Schizosaccharomyces pombe: one gene and its partners. Changing the gene in region 1 together with any one later gene gives a genetic interaction. Each region holds a gene or a part of one and is shown in the gene's direction. Other genes may lie near its edges.

The links.
Region 2: of sck1 (region 1) and hsp90, extra expression of one rescues a mutant of the other (dosage rescue), as found in Schizosaccharomyces pombe (one study listed by BioGRID).
Region 3: of sck1 (region 1) and git1, extra expression of one rescues a mutant of the other (dosage rescue), as found in Schizosaccharomyces pombe (one study listed by BioGRID).
Region 4: of sck1 (region 1) and git3, extra expression of one rescues a mutant of the other (dosage rescue), as found in Schizosaccharomyces pombe (2 studies listed by BioGRID, with this or other methods).

The regions. Positions count from the first base shown.
Region 1 is NC_003424.3:2,401,322-2,406,357, reverse strand, and holds sck1 (serine/threonine protein kinase S6K family Sck1), read left to right. Parts: upstream 1-1,654; 5' UTR 1,655-1,751; coding exon 1,752-1,991; exon of another isoform or gene 1,992-2,107; coding exon 2,108-2,798; intron 2,799-2,847; coding exon 2,848-3,814; exon of another isoform or gene 3,815-3,864; coding exon 3,865-4,057; 3' UTR 4,058-4,342; downstream 4,343-5,036. Other genes in the region: nuclear import protein Nxt2, read left to right, coding at 4,786-4,792, 4,835-4,917, 4,987-5,036. UniProt on the Schizosaccharomyces pombe protein: Protein kinase that is part of growth control pathway which is at least partially redundant with the cAMP pathway. Required for trehalase activation.
Region 2 is NC_003424.3:3,887,858-3,892,785, reverse strand, and holds hsp90 (Hsp90 chaperone), read left to right. Parts: upstream 1-1,646; 5' UTR 1,647-1,897; coding exon 1,898-4,012; 3' UTR 4,013-4,228; downstream 4,229-4,928. Other genes in the region: diphthamide biosynthesis protein Dph4, read left to right, coding at 28-241, 281-486; myosin II regulatory light chain Rlc1, read right to left, coding at 4,662-4,928. UniProt on the Schizosaccharomyces pombe protein: Molecular chaperone that promotes the maturation, structural maintenance and proper regulation of specific target proteins involved for instance in cell cycle control and signal transduction. Undergoes a functional cycle that is linked to its ATPase activity.
Region 3 is NC_003423.3:3,830,523-3,837,020, reverse strand, and holds git1 (C2 domain protein Git1), read left to right. Parts: upstream 1-2,030; 5' UTR 2,031-2,527; coding exon 2,528-5,824; 3' UTR 5,825-5,836; downstream 5,837-6,498. Other genes in the region: splicing factor Cxr1, read left to right, coding at 1-1,178.
Region 4 is NC_003421.2:1,541,674-1,548,171, reverse strand, and holds git3 (G-protein-coupled receptor Git3), read left to right. Parts: upstream 1-2,076; 5' UTR 2,077-3,590; coding exon 3,591-4,991; 3' UTR 4,992-5,839; downstream 5,840-6,498. Other genes in the region: meiotic recombination protein Rec7, read left to right, coding at 1-284; single-stranded DNA-binding protein Ssb2, read left to right, coding at 6,258-6,383. UniProt on the Schizosaccharomyces pombe protein: G protein-coupled receptor (GPCR) that senses glucose and signals via the heterotrimeric G protein alpha subunit gpa2 to activate adenylate cyclase and PKA signaling, and suppress sexual development and gluconeogenesis.

The DNA.
Region 1 (5,036 bases):
AATTTTTTGGAAGTAACTGATTGTATACAAAATGATGAACTTCTAAAATATACCGGTTTATTTGTCGGGCGTAAATCTATTGTTTGTACACTGACTTTGGATGATGCATATCATTAATGTAATTGTAGCTGATATCTCTTGACTTTTGTTTTGGAAATTAAACTATTTTGTATTGATAAATTAACGTAGAAAAGCACCACGATAACCTGAACCTCGCCTCAGCAGCTGTTTGTTTAACCTATGCGGAAGACCCCCACATGGTCCTTATTATCGGTTTTATGCCTAACACTAGCAGCTTAGCAGTGGTTATTAAAATGAAAGCCCCCACAAAGTACTAAGATGGGTTTGCTAGTACGGCTAATCAAGGTTGCGTAGCAACGTTTGTCAGAGGAACGAAAAGTGGTACTTTGAATGTCATTAATTTAACCGATGATTTTCTTATTTTGTTTGTAATTTCTGATGGTCTTTTACGATATTTAATTTGAAATACTGTGCTATGAAAAAAAATAATAATAAACAATAGCAGTGAACTATGACAAACTAGCTCTTATTATATAAATTACTATACAAAGTTATCTTTTTACATGAAATTTTATTTCTCGTTTTTTTTAATCATTTTCCTTTTAAATCTTTTTTTTGGGGAGGGAATTAACAGTTTAAAAAAATTTTTAACAAGGGTTATTTTTTTGGCTCCATTTTAATTAATTGTACTCTGTAAATAAAAGATTTAATAAACTCAAGGAATATAATTGACCACAGTAATGAGTATAGAGAGACTTAAATAAAAAAAAATTAAAATTAAAATTAAATCAGCCGAAATACAAAAATCCCGAGTATTTTGCATCAAACGCATATCAGAAACCATGAGAAGCAAATAACAATTAGAAATTGTGCCCAAATTTGCTAATGTATGTCAGTAAGTTACAATTTTAATTGACCAGTGGACATCCTACTAAAGCTCATTCATTCAAACACTACAATTGATTTATTAAAGAAAAAGAAACTTTTCTGGTAAATTTAGTATGACCTTTGGTTAAGGCATCAGCCAACGCATTAAAAATTATTTGATAAATGTTTATAAAAAAAGAGTGTAGCATTTTTCGGTACTATCTAGGTATTCCTCGAAACTAAACAGTCGAAAATCTCATAGCTTGAGCTCTCCGAAATTACGTTGTAATGTGCTTTAATTTCTTTTGTATATGTAGGCTAAAATAAATATACATGAAGTTTCTACTAAGCCATTCGGAGAACTCTGTTTCGATACTCCTTCGTTGGACAAACCTTTGAAAATCACAAGACATTTCTGAGTCAACAGCGTATTAATTGCTCGATAAATTTCTTTTTCTGCTTTTAGAATAAGTGCATAATAATAAAATACACTGCAAAGGAATTTTTCAAATGTTTAGGGTTATACATCCCCCTTACCTGAATCCCTTAAGAAATAGATAAATGGAAGTGCGGCGCCCCTCTGATATTATAACCATTTAAAATTATACATCTATATAATCATAGTAAAATACGAATTAGTGTTCGAAAAATACTGGATTTTCTATCCGTTCGCTAAGATATCGTACTCCCGGATGTTACCACACTTTTCGATTAAGGGAATTGCGAAGGTTACATATGCGAAACACCTGCTGGTCGAACCAACTTTAAACACCACACCCTATTATTAGTAACACCAGACGAGGAATCCGATTCCATTAAAAGAGTATTAAAAGATTCTTGATTGATCATTGCTTTTGCTGAAAATGACCGAAATTTTCGGTAAATTGCATCGATCATCAAATTCTGAGAATACAAATCAAGCATCGCCATCCACAATACAATCGCATTCAACGCAACCGGTTCTTTCCAATGACCATTCTACGAAAGTAAACGATTACGAAGGGAAAGAGGGTGCTTCGTCTAATGGCTATGATCCCGTTTTCATGTCGGATCGGATGAAGATGCGTTACAATGAGATTACAGCTCAGCTTCACAAAGAACAGGTATGTTATAATTGATTTTTTGCTTGAAAGACAATCTTCCCCATAGCTTTCTTTATTGTGTTTTTCAAAAATCACTGTCTCCATAAATTGTTGTTCACTTGGCTAACCTATCATAGTCCTTAAAGGAAGATAAAGAATCTGGTTCTAATAGTTCCGAAAGCAATGGAATTACACCAATGGGTACATATTCAGAAAAACCCAAACTACTACAGAGTCGTACACCTCCATCTTCGTGTTACATTAGGCATGATACCGTTGTGCCAAAAGATAAAAATGGTCAGCATGCTTTTGGACGGCTTTATGTTCGATTACATCAAGGTAGAGATTTGAACGTCAAAAGTGTTAATGCACAACCTTATGCAGTAATCACCTTTGAAAAAACGCAGGTTATGGTACCTCCTCCTTTTAAAGACATTGACGGTGGGATACCCATTTCCATTCCTTCTAAAAACCGTCCTCTTGCTGGATCTGCTTCCGGTTCTTCTTCTGGACTACATTCTGAGCTAATGTTGGCTGATGTGCGTTGTCCTCATTGGGATTTTGAAACTGTATTTGATGTGACAAAAATGAAAAGTCAAATGGTTGTATCTGTATATGACAAATATGAAGACGATAAATTTTTGGGCTCCGTTAAAATTACACCAATTTTCCTACATGAATATGTGCAGGAAGCATGGTATAAGCTTGAGCCTCTTGACTTAACTAAGTCTCTGGAGGGTGAAATAAAAGTGGAAACAATTTACGAGCACATTGAACATGTTCGTTATGGGCCAGAAGATTTTACGGCCCTTCGTTTAATCGGAAAAGGTAAAGCTGCTTTAAGCTAAAAAATTTACGGTATACTAACTTTATTTAGGCACTTTTGGGCAAGTTTATTTGGTCCGTAAAAACGATACCAATCGGATTTATGCTATGAAAAAGATATCCAAAAAATTAATTGTTCGTAAAAAAGAGGTTACACATACCTTGGGCGAAAGGAATATACTTGTCAGGACTTCATTAGACGAATCTCCGTTTATTGTTGGTTTAAAGTTTTCCTTTCAGACCGCTTCAGATCTTTATTTGATAACTGATTATATGAGTGGAGGCGAACTTTTCTGGCATCTTCAACATGAAGGTCGCTTTCCTGAGCAAAGAGCTAAATTTTATATAGCCGAACTTGTTTTGGCTCTTGAACATTTGCATAAACATGATATTATTTACCGAGATTTAAAGCCTGAAAACATACTATTAGATGCAGATGGTCATATTGCTCTTTGCGATTTTGGTTTGTCTAAGGCAAACCTTTCAGCTAACGCAACTACTAATACCTTTTGTGGAACCACCGAATATTTGGCACCTGAAGTTTTACTTGAGGACAAGGGGTATACTAAACAGGTCGATTTCTGGTCTTTAGGAGTCCTTGTCTTTGAGATGTGCTGCGGATGGAGCCCCTTTTATGCTCCAGACGTCCAACAAATGTATCGTAATATTGCCTTTGGAAAGGTCCGTTTTCCAAAAGGAGTTCTTTCATCAGAGGGTCGAAGCTTTGTTCGAGGCCTTTTAAATCGCAATCCAAATCATCGTTTAGGAGCAGTTGCTGACACTACTGAATTAAAAGAGCATCCTTTTTTTGCAGACATAAATTGGGACCTACTTAGCAAGAAGAAGGTTCAGCCGCCTTTTAAACCGAATGTTCAAAATGATCTGGATGTTTCCAATTTTGATAAAGAGTTTACCAATACTAATGTGAAAAATATCAATATAGTTTCCAATGTTGATCCCGCTAATGCCTCGACACCTCTATCCAACACGATTCAGGACAGATTTCGTGGTTTCACTTTGTAAGTTTATTTTTAAATATTTGACCATCAACTAACCTTAAACTTTATAGTGTCAATAAGTCCATTGATGAACAGTTTCAGAACCTGGGACTACAAGAAAACGAAGAGACAGATAATTTACATGCGTGTCGCACAACAACCCATTCATCGGTTAATTCAATAAATTCACATGGGAATCCACGTACGGTGGATGCTAACGATCCCGTCGCAGATACTGTGTTCGGCGAGACGTTCGAAGCTTGATAAGCTTGCTCCAATCAAAAAATTTGTCTCCTATTATCCACAATAGAAGATAACTTATTATGTATTATGTTCCCCTTTCGTTATAGTTATTTTGTCTCTCAAAGGCTTCGCTCCGTGTTTTCTAGTTTACCCAGGAATTAAAGCAAACTGTGGGTGTTTTGCTTTTGTTTCCTTCTATCCTTTATTATTTGTTACGTTCTATTTTGTAGTCATCTTCATATTTTATTATGTGAACATTTAATAGATTAAGTTTTACATTTTTATCCCAACTCAAATACTTGTTGCTTTCTTTTAATTATGATTGAAGGTGCATTAATTATGCAAAATGTGAAATACATCGTTATAAAAAAGAATGTAGCATTTAATAAGCAATCTTCACAATCAAGTAAATATTATGTTCCATTTCGTTCATGATACTAGTTAGACGCTAGCACCATATTTTTTCTCATAAATTTTGTCTCAATAGGAACGGATAAACATCTATCCTGTTGTTTGCATGAAGTAAAACCCCTTCAAATCTTATTGCAAATTCGTTTTTCTACCATTGCCAATACTATTCGAATAGAGGACTTTTGCCAAATAACACAACTATAAGTTTATCATGTTATTTTACATATTAAGAGTTGTATCATTTTACGTTAAATTACTTAAGGTGTCTGTACGATCTTTTTTGACGCGATTTTTCGAACTTGAAATAATAGGTCTACCTTTTACCACCATCTTTCATTATGGCTGGTAAGATAAAAATTTGTATGATTTATTGCTAATACTCTGCAGACTATAATGCTTTGGCGACCCAGTTCACTCAATTTTACTACCAAACTTTCGATTCCGATCGTTCTCAACTTTCTTCACTATACGTATGCGACTTCTAATTATGAAATTAATCCTACGTGTATTTATCTGGGCAGCTAACTTATATATATTAGAGAGAAGAGTCGATGCTGAGTTTTGAGGGAGCCCAACTCCAAGGAACTAA
Region 2 (4,928 bases), 1.5 Mb from region 1:
AGAACGACATAAGTGTGCTGTATCCTCATGAACCACTATTCGGTTCTAAACCTCAAAGATGGAAAAACTTACACAGACGATGAAATAAAAGAAGCTTATAGAAAAGCGTTACTACTGTTTCACCCGGATAAGTGTAAAGAAAAGCCCTCTGTGGTGTATACTATTGATCAAGTGAAAGAAGCATATCAAGTCCTTTCAAGTGAAAAAGATCGTCAGCAATATCAAATAAAACAAGAAGAGGGTAATTTTGTTTTGAAGGTTTTTTTATTAATCTAAACAGAAAGCTCGCATTACTACTCTATCGTTGATCTAAGTGAATTTGAAGAACTCGACAACGGCTCCTATTATTATCCTTGCCGATGCGGCGATTTAGGAGGATATGTTGTCACGGAAGACGACCTGGAAAATAACAGAAGTGTCGTCCCATGCATGGGTTGCTCTCTAACTATACAAGTAGATTATGAAATCGCGGAATCCGACTCATGATATCTTTTAAAGGGAGGCCAAGTATTTGTTGAGAGAAGGCAAGGCTAGTCTCTCTTGCTAAGGATTGTATAATAATATAGACTAATTGCAGCTGTAAATAATTTGGAAGTTTCAAAAGAGTCCTTAAATGAACGGTTAATTACCTTTGAAAATTTATGGCGGAGAATCACTTTTGATTTATTTATATACAAAGAATTTATTGCTGAGATATTATTAATAGCCTTTTTACTAAAATTTGAGTACTGTAAAAACTGCTGGAATGTTTCAATAATAATTTGTATTCGATAGGTGACATGGCTGTAGCGAAATTTATGCAAGCGACGCACATACCGAAGTAGTATCGGATGCGTTTCGTCTTGTCAAGTAAGTTTTATGCAAATGCGAAGGATTGGGTGTTTAACGATGTAAACAAATACAGTACAAGTTTATGAAATGGTATTTGCTAAATTCTGTTCGATTTTGAGAAATATTACATATTCTGTTCTTTATTATATATTCTATAAATTTATGTAACAAATGTCTACGGCCATACCTAGGCGAAAACACCAGTTCCCGTCCGATCACTGCAGTTAAGCGTCTGAGGGCCTCGTTAGTACTATGGTTGGAGACAACATGGGAATCCGGGGTGCTGTAGGCCTCTTTTTCGGAACATTATTTTTAATATGTATTCTAATTGCGTGCAAAAGAAATTTGAAGAAATATCACTCACTTGGAATTTATGAAGTTCCCATCATCTAGATAAGATACAGTTAAACACTTTAAATGATCGATCTCGTTTAGCTAACCTAAAAACGGTCGGTTATGAACAGTGAACGTTAGCGAGATGCCGATTTTATCACCCTTCAACGATGCTTAACGAAAAAACCTTTCGCTACAGTAAAACCTTATGAGCTTATCACAGTGTAAGGATGTTTCCGAATATTGGTTGTTCGTAATTTTACGCAATACACTATCTTCCCTCTAGCATCTTCTAGATACACTTTAGTGAGAAATTTTTTTTCTCACCCCAACCTTCTATCGCAATCCAAATACCACACTTCGTTGCATCCGCACTATTCTTTGAGTTCCATGTCCTTCCACCAAAAACCAGGGTTAGGGTTTTGGAATGTTCGAGTTGCTTTGTTTACAGAATATAAACCACCATACACGTACCCTCCGCCATCTAGCTCTCAAGTTATTTATAACCCATTTCCCACTAAGTTCCTTTGTTGAACGCTTAAAAGATTGTTCATACGTTTGAACATATTTAAAATCACGTTATAGCTGAGAAGAAAACCCCTTTTCAAGTAATAAAAGTATATTTAATTACTTATTTTACCCTTTATATTACGAACTGTACGACTTAACCGGTTTTATCTATAAATTCCTTCATTTTTCTTTGTTTTCGTTTTCAATTTGATTTCATTACAAAATGTCGAACACAGAAACTTTCAAGTTTGAGGCTGAAATCAGCCAGTTGATGTCTTTAATCATCAACACTGTTTATTCTAACAAGGAAATTTTCCTTCGTGAGCTTATTTCCAACGCTTCCGATGCCTTGGACAAAATTCGTTATCAAAGCCTTTCCGATCCTCATGCCTTAGACGCTGAGAAGGATCTTTTCATTCGCATTACTCCTGACAAGGAGAACAAAATCCTTAGCATTCGCGATACCGGTATTGGTATGACCAAGAATGACCTTATCAACAACCTTGGTGTTATCGCCAAGTCTGGTACTAAGCAGTTTATGGAAGCTGCTGCTTCTGGTGCTGATATCTCCATGATTGGTCAATTCGGTGTTGGTTTCTACTCTGCATACTTGGTTGCCGACAAGGTCCAAGTCGTAAGTAAGCATAATGACGATGAGCAATACATCTGGGAATCCTCTGCTGGTGGTAGCTTCACCGTCACTTTGGACACCGATGGACCTCGCTTGTTACGTGGTACCGAGATTCGTCTCTTCATGAAAGAAGACCAACTTCAATACCTCGAGGAAAAGACTATCAAAGATACCGTCAAGAAACATAGTGAGTTCATCTCTTACCCCATTCAATTAGTTGTTACCCGTGAGGTTGAGAAGGAGGTCCCTGAAGAAGAAGAGACCGAAGAAGTTAAGAATGAAGAAGACGATAAGGCTCCTAAGATTGAGGAGGTTGATGATGAATCTGAGAAGAAGGAGAAGAAGACCAAGAAGGTCAAGGAGACCACCACTGAGACTGAGGAGTTGAACAAGACCAAGCCCATTTGGACTCGCAACCCCAGTGAAGTTACCAAGGAAGAGTATGCCTCTTTCTACAAGTCTTTGACTAACGACTGGGAAGACCATTTGGCCGTCAAGCACTTCAGCGTTGAAGGTCAATTGGAATTCCGTGCCATTCTTTTCGTCCCCCGCCGCGCTCCTATGGACCTTTTTGAGGCCAAGCGTAAGAAGAACAACATCAAGCTCTATGTTCGCCGTGTTTTCATTACCGACGACTGTGAAGAGTTGATTCCTGAATGGTTGGGTTTCATTAAGGGTGTTGTTGATTCTGAGGACTTGCCCTTGAACTTGTCTCGTGAGATGCTTCAACAAAACAAGATCATGAAGGTTATTCGTAAGAACCTTGTCCGTCGTTGTCTTGATATGTTCAACGAGATTGCCGAGGACAAGGAGAACTTCAAGACTTTCTACGATGCTTTCAGCAAGAATTTGAAGCTTGGTATCCATGAGGATGCTGCTAACCGCCCTGCTTTAGCCAAGCTTTTGCGTTACAACTCCCTTAACTCCCCTGATGATCTTATCAGTCTTGAGGACTACATCACTAAGATGCCCGAACATCAAAAGAACATTTATTTCATCACTGGTGAATCTAAGCAAGCCGTTGAGAACTCTCCCTTCTTGGAAATCTTCCGTGCCAAGAAGTTTGATGTTCTCTTCATGGTTGACCCCATTGATGAGTACGCTGTCACTCAACTCAAGGAATTCGAGGGCAAGAAATTGGTTAACATTACTAAGGATGGTCTTGAGTTGGAAGAGACTGACGAGGAGAAGGCTGCTCGCGAGAAGCTCGAAAAAGAGTATGAGGAGTTTGCTAAGCAACTTAAGACCATTTTGGGTGACAAGGTTGAAAAGGTTGTTGTTTCTAACAAGATTGTTGGTTCTCCTTGCTTGTTAACTACCGGTCAATATGGTTGGTCTGCTAACATGGAACGTATCATGAAGGCTCAAGCCCTTCGTGATACTTCTATGAGTGCCTATATGTCTAGCCGCAAGACTTTTGAGATTAACCCCAAGTCTCCCATCATTGCTGAGCTCAAGAAGAAGGTTGAGGAGAATGGTGCCGAAGACCGCTCTGTGAAGGATCTTGCTACTATTTTGTATGAGACCGCCTTGTTGTCCTCTGGTTTCACTCTTGATGACCCTAGTGCTTATGCTCAACGTATCAACCGTCTTATTTCTCTTGGTCTTAGCATTGACGAAGAGGAGGAGGCTCCTATTGAGGAAATTTCTACCGAATCCGTCGCTGCTGAAAACAATGCTGAGAGCAAGATGGAGGAAGTCGATTAAATCAAATGCATCTAATGTGTCTTTCCAAAATTTATGCATATAATGTTTTTCTTGGATTAAAGCAAGTTATCCTATACATTGTTAACGATTCTAGTGTCTGTTGTCATTCAAAAATTTCTTTCTACACGATTTTTCTTAATACACACTAGATTACAGGTTGTTTGGAAGTTGTTATAATATGGAATGTTGATTAGTAATATTAAAGTTTATGGATACTTATTAGTACATCAAATTTTGTTTTCGAATAATGTAGTTTATACTACTAACAAGTACAAGTTGGTGCTTAAAAGTTATTTTTTTCTAGTCATGTGAGAGCTGTTTTACAAGGTAGGATAATTTTGATGAGGAACATAGGTATGCTGGGCTAATATAGATTTATTCATACATTAATTGAACCCTCGAATGAAAATATGGTTAATGACATTAAGCCTAAGCTCTAACTCACTAAACACTGCAAATAATAGTAAAGTCGCAGAGAGTAGCTAAGTATTGAGACACATAAAGTATAGGTCACAACGAACATAAATGTATCAAATGCTTTCATAAAAAGTTAAAAGAGAAGAGGAAAATTCGTCTAAGGGAAATGGCTCAGGTTAAAAAGATAAAGTATTAGAGGGAAGAATGTGAAACATATCTGGCTGCTCTTAACTCAATTGCTATCTTTTGACCCAGCAATAGCATCAACGAATTTCTCGTAATAGAATACACCATGACTGGTGTACGAGCGTAAAATAGACTCGACTTCTTGAGGATCCATTCTATCACCCATACTTGACAAAGCATCTCTCATAGTGGAAATTGGAATTTTGCCGGATTGAGTATCATCGAATGTAGAGAACGCTTCTAGTAGATCATTTCTGGGGGAGATTCGACACAGCATACTACCCATCGCAGTGAGAAAAGCGGCTAAATTAAT
Region 3 (6,498 bases), on another chromosome or scaffold:
GCTCATCAAGAGATGAAAACGTCTATCAAAAAACGACGCTTTGGATGGGTGAATTAGAGCCTTGGGTTACTGAAGCATTTATCCAGCAAGTTTGGAATACTTTAGGAAAGGCAGTCAAAGTAAAGCTTATTCGTAACAGGTACACAGGCATGAATGCTGGCTATTGTTTTGTCGAATTCGCATCTCCTCATGAAGCTTCAAGCGCGATGAGTATGAACAACAAACCAATTCCTGGTACAAATCATTTGTTTAAACTTAATTGGGCCTCTGGAGGCGGATTACGTGAAAAGTCTATTTCAAAGGCCTCAGAATATTCCATATTTGTGGGAGACTTGTCACCCAATGTCAATGAGTTTGATGTGTATTCTCTCTTCGCATCTCGATATAACTCATGCAAGTCGGCCAAAATCATGACTGATCCTCAAACAAATGTGTCAAGAGGATATGGTTTTGTCCGTTTTACGGACGAAAATGATCAGAAATCTGCATTGGCAGAAATGCAGGGTCAAATTTGTGGTGATCGTCCTATTCGGGTGGGATTAGCCACTCCTAAAAGTAAGGCTCATGTTTTTAGTCCTGTGAACGTTGTACCTGTTAGTATGCCACCAGTTGGATTTTATAGTGCTGCACAGCCTGTTCCTCAGTTTGCTGACACAGCAAACTCAACCGTATTTGTTGGCGGTCTCTCAAAATTTGTTTCTGAAGAGGAGCTTAAGTATCTTTTTCAAAATTTTGGAGAAATTGTTTATGTCAAAATTCCACCTGGAAAAGGTTGTGGATTTGTGCAATTTGTCAACCGACAGTCTGCTGAAATTGCTATCAATCAGTTGCAGGGTTATCCTTTGGGCAATTCTCGTATCCGATTATCTTGGGGAAGGAATCAGAATCCAATTGCGGCTCCTGCCTTGAATTATCAGTCTCAGGTTTCACAAACTACTATTCCTGCTACCTCATTATTTCCGGCAATGAGTTTACCACCCCAGGCTCAGTTTAGTCCATATCCGGCTGTTGCACCTTCCCCCTTAGCCCTGCAAACGAGGGGTGCACCGATTGGCATGGAAATTTCGATTGGATCTCCTGCCCTCGTACCTGATCAAATGCATATTCCTGAAAACGGCAACTCTGATACCATGCCTGTTCCTAACACACAAGGAAAGCATTTATCAGCTGAAGAGTAATGTAAAAGTACTTGCGATTGAATTTTTTATAATGGCATGTCTCATACTTTTTATCATCATTCTTGGTTTTTATAAAGTATGAATAATTTTCCATCTATTCTAATAAGTTTGATGTTCATAATGAATCACGGAGAATTATTGTTTCGAGAAACGTGAGAGTTCTTGTAAACTCTATCTGTTATTTTGGACGTTAAATCAAGAGAGTCCCTTAGCATAATTGATTAATAAGCATTTTACATGTGTTCATGAATTCGAATTATCGAAGAAAAGCTTGAACTAAATTTTTGTTGGACATAGCTTCATTACGTTTCCTTTCTAAGGATTGACGGTTTTTATATTCATCTCTCCCTGTTTATGATATGAAATGCTACGTTTTTTTAGCCGAAATTTTCATTTGTCATGATTTTTATAGTCAAGAAAAAGGTTTTCATACGACGTATATAAAAGATTAAATTTAATAGTAATGATGGACTTCAGAATTATCGCACTGAGATTTTTAGGTCGCTGGAGAATGCAGTTTAGGCAAGGTATGTAAGTGCTTATTGAGATTTCCCATTGATAAACAACTTTTAAGTTGCTTCTGGTTTAATCATTCGTTCTTTTAGGTATGAGTTTAGTTAAATGATCAGCGCCATTTTCAAAACATTTCATTCAACCAAAAATCAACCGCCTCTAAATTCAATTTTATTTGAATGATACTCCCTATTTATCGAAAAATCCATTCAATTAAAATCTATTATTAACTTTTCATCCATTTAAATCTACTCCATTTTTAAAGCTCTTGTTTACAGAGTAACAACGCGACTTGCAACTTCTACTACGCCAGGGGGGCGACTGTCGCAATAAACAACTGACAGAAAACGCACTTATAGTATAGGCTCAAAATCTTTTTAAATCGTAGCCTTTCCCATTAATACGAATACATCATCAAATTCAGTTTTGCGATTAAGTATAAACGGGCTTAACTCGTGCGTTTATATACTTTGTCAACGCTGTGATTAGTATTCAACCTTTGACGTTACACTTTATTAACCTGGCTCGATACTCTTAAATAAGACTCTGGAAAGCGACAATTCTTATAATTAATTTTATTTTTTATTTTTTAACCTGTGAAAAAGTTTTAATCTCTAGACCTGGAACGATCATTAACATAATTGTGTACACATTATTGAAATCCAGCTTATAAATGAATTTTGATCTACTAAATAATTTACTCACCGATCCAAAGAAGCAGACAACATAAACCATCACCTATCGCTATTTTTACCTTCATCCATTAAATAACACCTTCATACATTCCGAACACCAGGTTTTTGCACTCTCTACTCAGCAAATCGGAAAGGCTTAAAATGGGATTCACTAGTGTTGAACCCCCAGATTTTTTTGATTGGACTGCCAGAGCTATATTTTTATTATCGACATTACGCAGTCGCAGAAATGCTAAGCAAATTGAGCGTGAAAATGCGCTTTTGGATCAAATCAAGGAGCTTTTAAGTATTGCCATTATTCAGTGTCATGAAAGAAATATTCCTTCGATAGATCTTCCCCCGTCTTTTTTCAATTATGTTTGTGAACAGCTACCCAGGCACCCTTTTGCTAAGATAGCTTCGAGCTACATAGATACGCATACTTTATTTTTTCAAATATCTATCAGCTCATTTTTATGCCGATTTTCAAACTGCTCAGAAGACGAGATCAGGCTTTTTAAGCAGCACCAGTCCCTTGATAGTTTTTTACTATCCTTGTTTGACCTCCTTTGTAGTCACCACTTTTCCGTTGAATTTACGTCCATATCACTAATTATCAAATCTTCGCAGTGGTTATTTTATACATTATCCGATTATGCTCATGAATCCTTAACAGGCGTTGAGGCTGATATTACAACGAAATTTCTTTCCACCCTAGCTGATACTTGGCCAGAATTCGAAGAGCAGTGTACTCTTAGCAAACATCTTTTTCTTTTAGGTGACTTTTCGCTAATCAGCTATGTAAAAGTTTTATGTGGTGTATTTAATATCCCTAACTACAATGCCTTCATTCTAAGTGTCGAGGATCTACTTCCGGAAAATATATCCTTTGCCGCCGTTGCTGATTTTCAGTTATCAAAGTATAGGGCAATTAACGACAATTCTGTATTAAGAAGTGACGATTTCTCATCAAAAGCTGTGTTCGACAAATACGTTGAAAGGGAGTGTTATTACTCAGAAAATGCTATTAGTAAAATTTTTCAAAACTATCCTGATTTGGCTGTCCTTTTTGAAGAACTACAATATGCCGAGGGAAACAATGATCTTCTATCTGCGATTTTGAATACCAATAAATATACTTTGAGACCTGATGATTGTGCTCCATACTTTTATCGTTTAATGGATTTGTGCTTACGTTATTGTTATAGCCAAAGTAATGAAATTGGTACCAACGTTTTATGGAGCATGACTACAAGTTTCATCAACATTTGGCGTATTCATCCTGGAACATGTTGTTGCGTGGTCTTAAGTATATATTGGCCTTATCTTGAGGATAAACTCCTAAAGTTTTCGGACCTTGGAGATATTTTTGAATACTTCTTTTCTTTAATTCATGATTGTGATTATGCGATTTGGTCAGTCCATGACGAACACCAATTTTCGGAGTTATTGGCGTTTTATCATAGAAGAGCTTTAAATGACTTAGTAGAAGAATTGGGGAGCTGTCCTCGTTCTAGTGATTCTTGCCGAGCTATCCTTGATATCCTTAATAATTACATCTTTTCATGTCCGCTTTTTCTGGTAACCCCTGAAGAACTAGAAGAGCAATACACCGACTTTTTTAAAAAACTGAAAGAAAAATATGGGGAGTTTTTCCAGAATCTACTGAAGAAAGAACTGACTGGGAAGCCTGAATCAGATCTCGAAGGGCTTCGATTAGTGGGTGTCCAATTGCAAGCCACTTACGAAAACTTGAAGTCGAATTTTAGTGCTAGAATATTTAACCAGCTTTCGGTTCACTCATTTTTTGCAGAAGCAACATGTCACTTGTTTCTTGAGAAATTACCTACCATTACCAAAACTTATGTATACTCAAATTGCAAAGAAATTCCAGATCATATCCTTGAAATGATCAATGCTCTATACCAGCAAACTCGCGCTTTAGTGGCTTGCACCGGATACCTATCGTCGGACTACCCGAAAATTTATGAAGCTTTTAGCGGTACCTTTGTATATAGAAATTTGTCGCTGATAATCGACAAGGGCTTGGCTAATGTGTTGCAAACAGTCCTAAGAGAGTCTTTCATTCCTAAGAGATCCAGATTTTATTCAGATTCAACTAAAATGATTCTTGCTCCTTTGCAGGACTGTTATGATTTTCTGCAGAAAATAGATTGGCCAAGTTCCAAAGATGCAAATCGTTTTTATTTGCATCTTGGAAAACTTAGTGAAAACTACATTCATTACTACGTTGACAGCATGTATGCATTGTTTATTTATAGTACCGATATACCATTGAAAGCAGAACCTTTAGTTCCTGATCTTCCGGTGAAGCAGCTTAAAGAAAAAGCTAGTCATTTTAAAAGACATTCTGGGGACCCAAATTTTTTGAAGCTGTATAGGGAATCATTCACCCTAATCAATACCGTCAGTTTAGTGAGTGGTTGGTTAAAAATGCTGCATCAAAGGATTGATTATAAAATATTGACAGAGAAGGTAATGCACTTTAAAGATATGGAAGTACCATCTGCGACTGTTATAATTTCCATTAAGATGGCCCATCTTTTGGTAACCCCAAAGGCCCCATATTCATTCTCTGTTTTGCTCCAAGATCCTGAGTCGGAATTTTGTGTACATACTCGAGATGTTTATGACGAGCTAGTTCCCAATTGGAAAGAAACGTATCAGATGGAGATTACAAACGTAAAGCGTTTTAAATTAATTATATATCAGAGGAATATACACACTGGATTGGAGACTGTATATGGTCATGCAACACTAGAAGTTGATCCCGACAAACTTAAGCAAGGCCACGGAAAAGATGTTTGGCTTGATATCACTAATAAGGGACAAATTTTGATTGGGTTGCGTGTGCTCTTGAAGAGGGAAACACCAAATTATTACTGCTTTGCCCAAATGGAATACCTTACCGTTACTGAAGTAAAAATGCTAAATGTACTGATGATTTCTCTAAGTAAATTTATTCGAAATTCCTTAAGAAATAGTGGGTTAATGGATTTCGTGCGTTATCTTGATGGAGACGAAAATGATAACGCAGAGGCTGAGACTAAAGAAAAGATGGACGAGTTGCAGGCCCGGTGTGAAAAAGAGCAGCAGTCATTGTTGGCAGAGCTAGATGATTTTTTTTATTGGATTTATGTAAACTTGCTCCCGAAACCTCTTTTTTACTTGCTTTCGCGGCTTTGGTTTGGCTTGTTGGAGACATTTCGAGATATTTTAGTGCCTCCAGTCACAGATTCTACCCTAAGGAGAATTCCGTTGAATAAGCGTGAACTCAAAATGGTCTATTCGTGGTTACAATTGTTTTACGATTTTTTTCGGAATTTTCAAGATATTGCGCCATTTGATTTTTTGAATACCGATGAGTACAAAAGTGTGATGGCTATTAAAGACTATTATTTTGTAAAGTCTAAGGATGTCAAAAGAGTGAGTAGTTAGTTAACTACGGTAATGATGGAGACTTCTATTAATGTTTATTAATTTACTGAACGATACTTTTAATTTAATGAGCACAGTTGCTAATTTATTTTATATATATACAAATATGTATGTCATACGTCTATCATAAAGTCGCGTGTATTAGTTGCTAGGCTGAAATTATTTATTAAGCAGCTAGCTTATAACACTGCATTGTACACAAGAATAATGCTGAAAGCTAAAAATTAAGTTATGCTTACGATGATTACGCATTTTCTACAAAAATGAAACACACCATACAACCATAACAACAGGTTACAACAAAAGTCATAAATACATTTCTATGTAAACAAAAACAGATTTTTTTTAACGTAAAGCATACACATAACCGCACAGCCTTTAGAACGTCCAAACCATAAAAGCAAGTTATAATCATACATAAACATAACAAATGCCTTTAAGTCCCTTAGATAAGACACAAACATTAACCCTTGACTCAATGTCAGAGGCAATAGGAGATTAAAGTCGAATAATTACCAAAGGAACGGGAAAGGATTCCAAAAATTGCCATGAAGTTCAGGTAATGTTGGAATGCGGACATTGTGTACTTCGTCAGATTGCATCATTATATAACACAAATGGGAATACCTATAATAGATATACGTGGGCCATATGTTTTAACTCATTAAAGTCGG
Region 4 (6,498 bases), on another chromosome or scaffold:
CTTTTAATCCCAATCGTAATGCCTACTCTTACGGTGCAAACTCACAATACCCCATTATTGCTGCTACGCCGCTGAACTCTCAGACACAGGCTTCGTGGGTTGCTCAACCGGAGAACCAAGCATACGCAAATTTGATTCCATCACCCCCAACGACTTCACAAATCCTACCAACAGAACTTACTGAAGAGGAAAAGCAATTACGCTCCAAGGTATTATTCTATCTAAAACAAGACAGCTTCATCCAATTATGTCAAAGTTTGGAACGGGTATGGAACAAGATGTAGGAAGACAGACCAATTCAACTTAATCCCAAATTTAAAAAAGTAGTAAAAATGGAACGAAATCAGGATCGGAATGGTTATTTCGACAAAATTGATGTGTGACCACAATTTGGCAACCAAATGAGAAACTTCATTAAGTTCACATTCTTCGAGTACCGTGATAAAACATTTGTTGCAAATTTTGACATTATTTAACGAAAAGTTGGTCGAGATCTCAACTGCATATGATCGTTGCTGAGGATTAGCAAACAGAAACCGCCAACACAACAATGTTGAAATAAATTTCTCTACTTGTTGCATGACTCTTTTCCCTTAGGCTTGTCCATGCAGAGCATTAAAATCAAATTGAGAAGATCCCGTTCCGATCCTTGGGGTGTAAGCCTCCACCACGACACATAATCGGTATCAAAAGACAACTCTGAAAACTTTTTGATGGGGGAATTGCCGCAAGTACAGCATGAATACTAGTGTTAATAATGGGTCAGGTTACAACGGTTAAAATTGAGTTGGTGGTTGGTTTTGATAATTGACTTAACAATCCACGAGAGGAGTTCATGACATTAAGTACGAAAATGGTCAAATAGTTAGTTTAACTTCAAAAATAGACGAACCAAGTGGAGAAAGTAAATGTTCCGAGCACCAAAAAAAAAACATGATATTTTTTAAAGGGATGAAACAGCTAGAACGTTATGAGTGTAAAAAGGATTTTTTTTTTTTTTTTGGGTACTTCCGAGAGAGACAACAGTCTACAAAGCTTCACAATGATTTCAATGTCCGTGAAGTAAACCTTAAAATGTCGAATCGACTTTGAAGGGTTGCATGCGAATTATCAAATAATGTTTAAAAGTGTTGTCAATGGAAAATGAATCCCGTTTCCCATTTCACTTAATCTAGCTTATCTGCCTAATCGGCACTTAAGGTAGATGGAAACCAGAGAATATTCTTTTTTCCTCAAAACAAAAACGCCCCCGCTAGTAAACCTAAAGACAATACCGACTAACGATATTGTGATTTTCACTTGGTGGAATTGGCGGAAATGTTTTCAAAGATATGAAGGCATAACCGGATCAAACGGTTTCGACAATGCTAATAGAATTCTCTTCACGTGGACGAACCGGTTTCCAAGGAGAATAAAGACATAATAATAAAATTTAACACTCCTTGTTTTATTTCGACAATATTTATTGGTCTGGTCCGAATTGTTCATTTTGGTAACTACAACATTACTCCCTATTTTTAAGCACGTTTTCATTACCCCTAATTGAAACTTGATTCTATCAACTTTCAATTTACCGGGGCTCGTTTTATTATTCTATTCTCACCATCATTCGATTTTCGCTTCATTTCTGTTGAGGGACTGCTTCCTAGATTGGTGTTTAACGCTTATCGCAACGCATGGAGTTGCATTTCATCCATTTTCTTTTGAAAATAAAGTGTGACCTCTTCTTGTGCCTAATATTGACTTGACTTTAAACACTGTAAAAATAAACGCTGTTTTTTAAAACCATCAATAACTTTAAATCATCGGTTCCTTTTTTTCTTTTATAACGAGGACTTTCTCATTAACGCACTCTGAAATGATTCTTTTCACCCTGATTTTTTTTATGCGATTGTATTTGCTCCTCACGATATACTATACTAATCACTATCGTACTTAAAAAATAGGCCGATCGTCCGAACCTCGTTTGTCTGTGCAAAAACAACTCTCGTCATTCTTACACAAAAATTTCGTTTACAGCGATACTACAAATTTTTTTCATAAGTTATAATGGTTGGTGGTAGCACATCTAGGAGTGTGAAAGCATCGCCGATATTGTGTTAGTGCGACAAGGCTCATCAAGGGATTAGGGAAATTTTTTCTTCAATAGTCTTGCTAGAAAATTACTCGGAATTTGAATCGTTGTCGATATTTTTTTTTCTGAAATTACAATTGTTCATTGTCTCTGCGTAGGTGCAAATTTCTGATTTGCTCTACAGCTTGTGATCTTAAATCTACTTAGTCAATCGACTCTGTACTATTGACGCCTGGGCCCCCTCACATAATTCAATTGCGATCTTTTTTTTTATTCTTCTTCTGTGGACTTAAGGTGCGGAGACTTTGGTTTATTTGTCTCCTCTTGTGTTTCTGTCAAGCCCGTGTGCTTGCATATTTTTTCAGAAAAATCCCGCATTGGTACTTAACTACTGTACTTGCTATAACACCTTATCCATTAGTCGTTGAGGTATATTTGTGCATATTCACTACACACTCATACACAACAGCAAAGGCGGCAACTCTCCGCCATCATTACTTATAATCAAGCCAACTCCATCAGCCAACCCAAACCACGGCGCCTTCAATTGATTTGTCTTTTCCTTAATTATCGGTAAATTTCACCGATTTGATTTAGTACCGCTTTATTCACTGTACGGCGTTAATTGCAAGCCATACCGCCTCCGATTTCCCTATTCTTCAATATCCTTAAGAAGGTTCGCCACGCTATTAAGAGCCTTGCAAAACGTGCATAAGTGGCTTTGAGCTCTAAGTGACTTCACTAGTGCTTTCTTTATAAGCACAATACATCGTTGGTTGTTCACGTCAATTGCGCTTTTCTTCTTGCCAAGAGTGTCGAGACGGGACTGCGCTTTATTAATAATCGTCGGCACCGTTTTGCGTCCGGCTTTCCTGGTTGCATTCGTTTATCACTTTTGAGCTGCTTCGTCGGCCACGATTAAAGGAAAAAGCAGTAGATTTACTATTTCAACTTTTACCTTTAACAGTTTAATCGTGTGTCTACAACTTTCGAAAGAATAGTTGAGTTAATTGAAAAGTAAAGACGAGAAGCTTGTTTTTGGAAAAAAGAAAACAGAAACAAAAATAAAAGTACGGGAATTCAAATTCATATTCGAAACAAACTCGTTTAGTTTAGAGAGCTCCTTCTATATTGCCAGTTTGCTAAGTTTTTTACATCAACTTGAAGAGACTGTTTATATTCGCGAACGAAGCAATTTATAGAAAATCGAGGGTCAGATATGCAATCTTGGGTAATTGGATATACGAGATATACTATTTTTTGCACTTCTTAAGGGTAATAGGACTGATTACCCAAGTGGCTGAAAATTCTGTTTTGCTTTCTTGTTTGTCTATTTGAACATTTCTGAAGTCATAGATTTGTCTTTGGAGTATTCCTTTTTTTTTTGTCTTTTTTTTTGTTTTTCGTTCTGATATTGCTTTTCTTGTTTTTTACTTTCTCACCTCCTCTCCTCTCTTTTTTTTTCCTGTCTTCTTGAAGAGAAGTTTAAACTTTGTAATAAGGAACAAGGTTGCTCATGCTTCATTTAGATTATACGTTTAATGTTTCCGATGCCACGAGTACGAGTTCCATCATCATTGTCTCTCGCAGAGAGTTAGCTAACCTGAGAATCATGGTCATTATAGCTTCAGCCATATCTATCGTTTTCAGCTTAATTGCTATCTTCTGGCGATGGTCTCGTCGGCGAACAATACGTGAACAATTTCATATCGCTCTTTTTTCTGTATTGTTTATTCGTTCCATTGTGCAAATGATTCATCCATGTCTAGCATTAAGCGATCCTTTTTTTTGGGCTCCAAAACATCGATGCTTTACAATTGGATTTTTTCTTTTGGTACTTGTTCGGATGACTGATTATTGGATTTTTATCAACATATTGCATAATGCTCTTTTGGTGCTTTTCCCCCATGTTGATACTGAACGAAGGGGTCTATATCGTTTTCGGCATACTGTGTTTACACTGTCATTTGTAATTCCTTTAACTATTGGCGGACTTGCTTTTACCAATAAAAGAAATACATTTGTCAATTTACAAACCCGATGCTACCTTCCCTATACCCCTGTACGATTCATGTTTGGTTTGAATTGGTCATTTGATTATGCGCTAAGTATTGCAATTATTGCTTTACAAACTTGCATGTTCATCTCGATCAGAAGGAAAATCAAACGTTTCAAGAAATACTCACATCAACAAACAAATGTGTTTGATACTTTAAATGTCATTGATTCGTATCCTACCGCTCCGGATCAAGTAGCTCTTCCACCATTTCCCGACACCAACAGTACTTTAACATATACTCCATCTAATTCTCAATCCATTTACTCCTCGCAGTCTCAACCTTCTCCCTATTCGAGACCGTTACTATCCTCTGTGCATCCTAATTTGCCTCCTGGTTCGCAGTCTACTCCTGCTAATCTAAATCAATCAGGAATACATTTCGAACAGGATTTTAGGGATAGTCCAAATCGCACAAATGGCCTTGAAGATCACACGAGTTTTAAACTCAGTAGTCCATTGACTAGTGACGAAGATGGTGCTTCTAGTGTTTTGGCTGCATATGGAAATGATATGCAAGATGATCCCCTCCTTAAACAACGGAAACGCATTTTAAGTCAGTCTAAGTTTTTGTTTGCTTATCCTGCAATTTTTATCTTTATGTGGATTCTCCCTCAAATACAGATTATCGTTATACTTGCCCAACCGTTGCACTGCTCTGGTTCATGCAAACGATTCGCATTTGTTGCAGTCTTTGCAGACAACTTCGTTGCCATCTTTATTGCCTTGTCAGATTTTATTTGGATTTGTTATCGTGGCTACACGTATTTGAAGGAAAGAGATTCGAGTAAAAGTTATTGGGATCAAATAAAGGAGTTGACTTTAAAATGGTGGCGGGGTAAATTTGGTGAGGAAAAATAGAAGGATTTGTTCTTTTTATTTTTGTTTATGGTGAAGTCTCACAAGCTCCTCTTCTTGTATTATAATTTCTTTTTATGACGATTTTATTATCACTTTACTTCTTAAAATTTTCTCATAGCCTTTGCATTCATATGTCTTCCTTTTTTGTTAAAGCCATCCAGTGAATGACAATGGAATGTGAATGGAAACAACTGTGGTAAACCAACTAATATTTTAATATCTCCCATTTTTGCATCACCTCTAATATATGTCATACTTTAATTTTCGCTTCCCAGAATTTATTTCGAAGTATTAAATTTTGGCACTACTTAACTTGGCAAAAGGCTCGGATTGGAAGATGGTTTAAAGCTTGGCTGCTTCAAATTGATAAGGCCGCTCACAATTATCGATGTATATATATGTACTGTGTCTATGACAGTTTTCTATTCATCTCGGGGAATTCATTTTTGGAACGCTTAGTCGCCTAAACAATTCTTCCTTATATAGAATGTTTATGTTCAGCTTTACCAACTATCATTCACTCGTTTTCATTTTTCAGATGCTCTTACATTTTACTGCTTGCATTAAGCATCTGTCTTCAAAACTATATTCAAAATTTATGTCCCCAATACTATATTTCCTCAATACATAAAATGGATGGATTGTGCATAGCAATACGTTTATGTTCTTATTTTGTATATGTCGATGTGCGAATAGTCATTCACCATTAGCTATTCTTTTGTTGTGGATAAATCGCTTTTCTTCCTATACGATTTGTAAAATTGCGTCGGACATTTGTTCCATGCCTTCTTGTTACATATGAATGTGTTAATGTTTACAAATTTAATAATGTATTTTTTAGTTTTTCTTTACATTTGGTAAAGCAGAATGGTAGCACAGTATCTGATTGCTTTAAGCGTTTTAAGTCAATTGAGCATCCCGTGATTAGTAGGTTTTTGTATTGAAAACTATACGGTTATAGAGAAAAAAAGTAGATGTAAGATGGTTTTCTAAATAAAACAGTTAATTTTATTACATTGTAGTATATAAGCACGCTTGCTTGATTTTATTCTTTTCGGTACACCACCGCGAAACGCGACTCGTAACTTGTACTAAACACACCACTGAAAAGTAGACTACTCGTGGAATCAGCTGTAACTTTATATTCAATTATTTAAAAATCACTCTCTAAAAGATCGCAGATATATTTTTAAGTGGTTGATTTGCTTTTTCATCGCTCTTTAATTCACCCTAACAAACTTTCATAATTTGAGATAATACGTGCTCATGGCTTATGATGCTTTTGGCAAGCCGGGCTATGGTCCCGACTTCAATAGCGCTTTTTCTCCAGGAATGGGAGGAGGCGCTGGATTTAATGAATATGATCAATCGAGCCAGCCCAGCGTCGATAGAGTAAGTGGGATAAAATACTAAAACTATTGTTTGAATAACCGCAAGGTGATACTTTTTGGTTGATAGTTTTGTACTAGCACTGACCTTATTCATAAAAATATCTAATACTAATTTT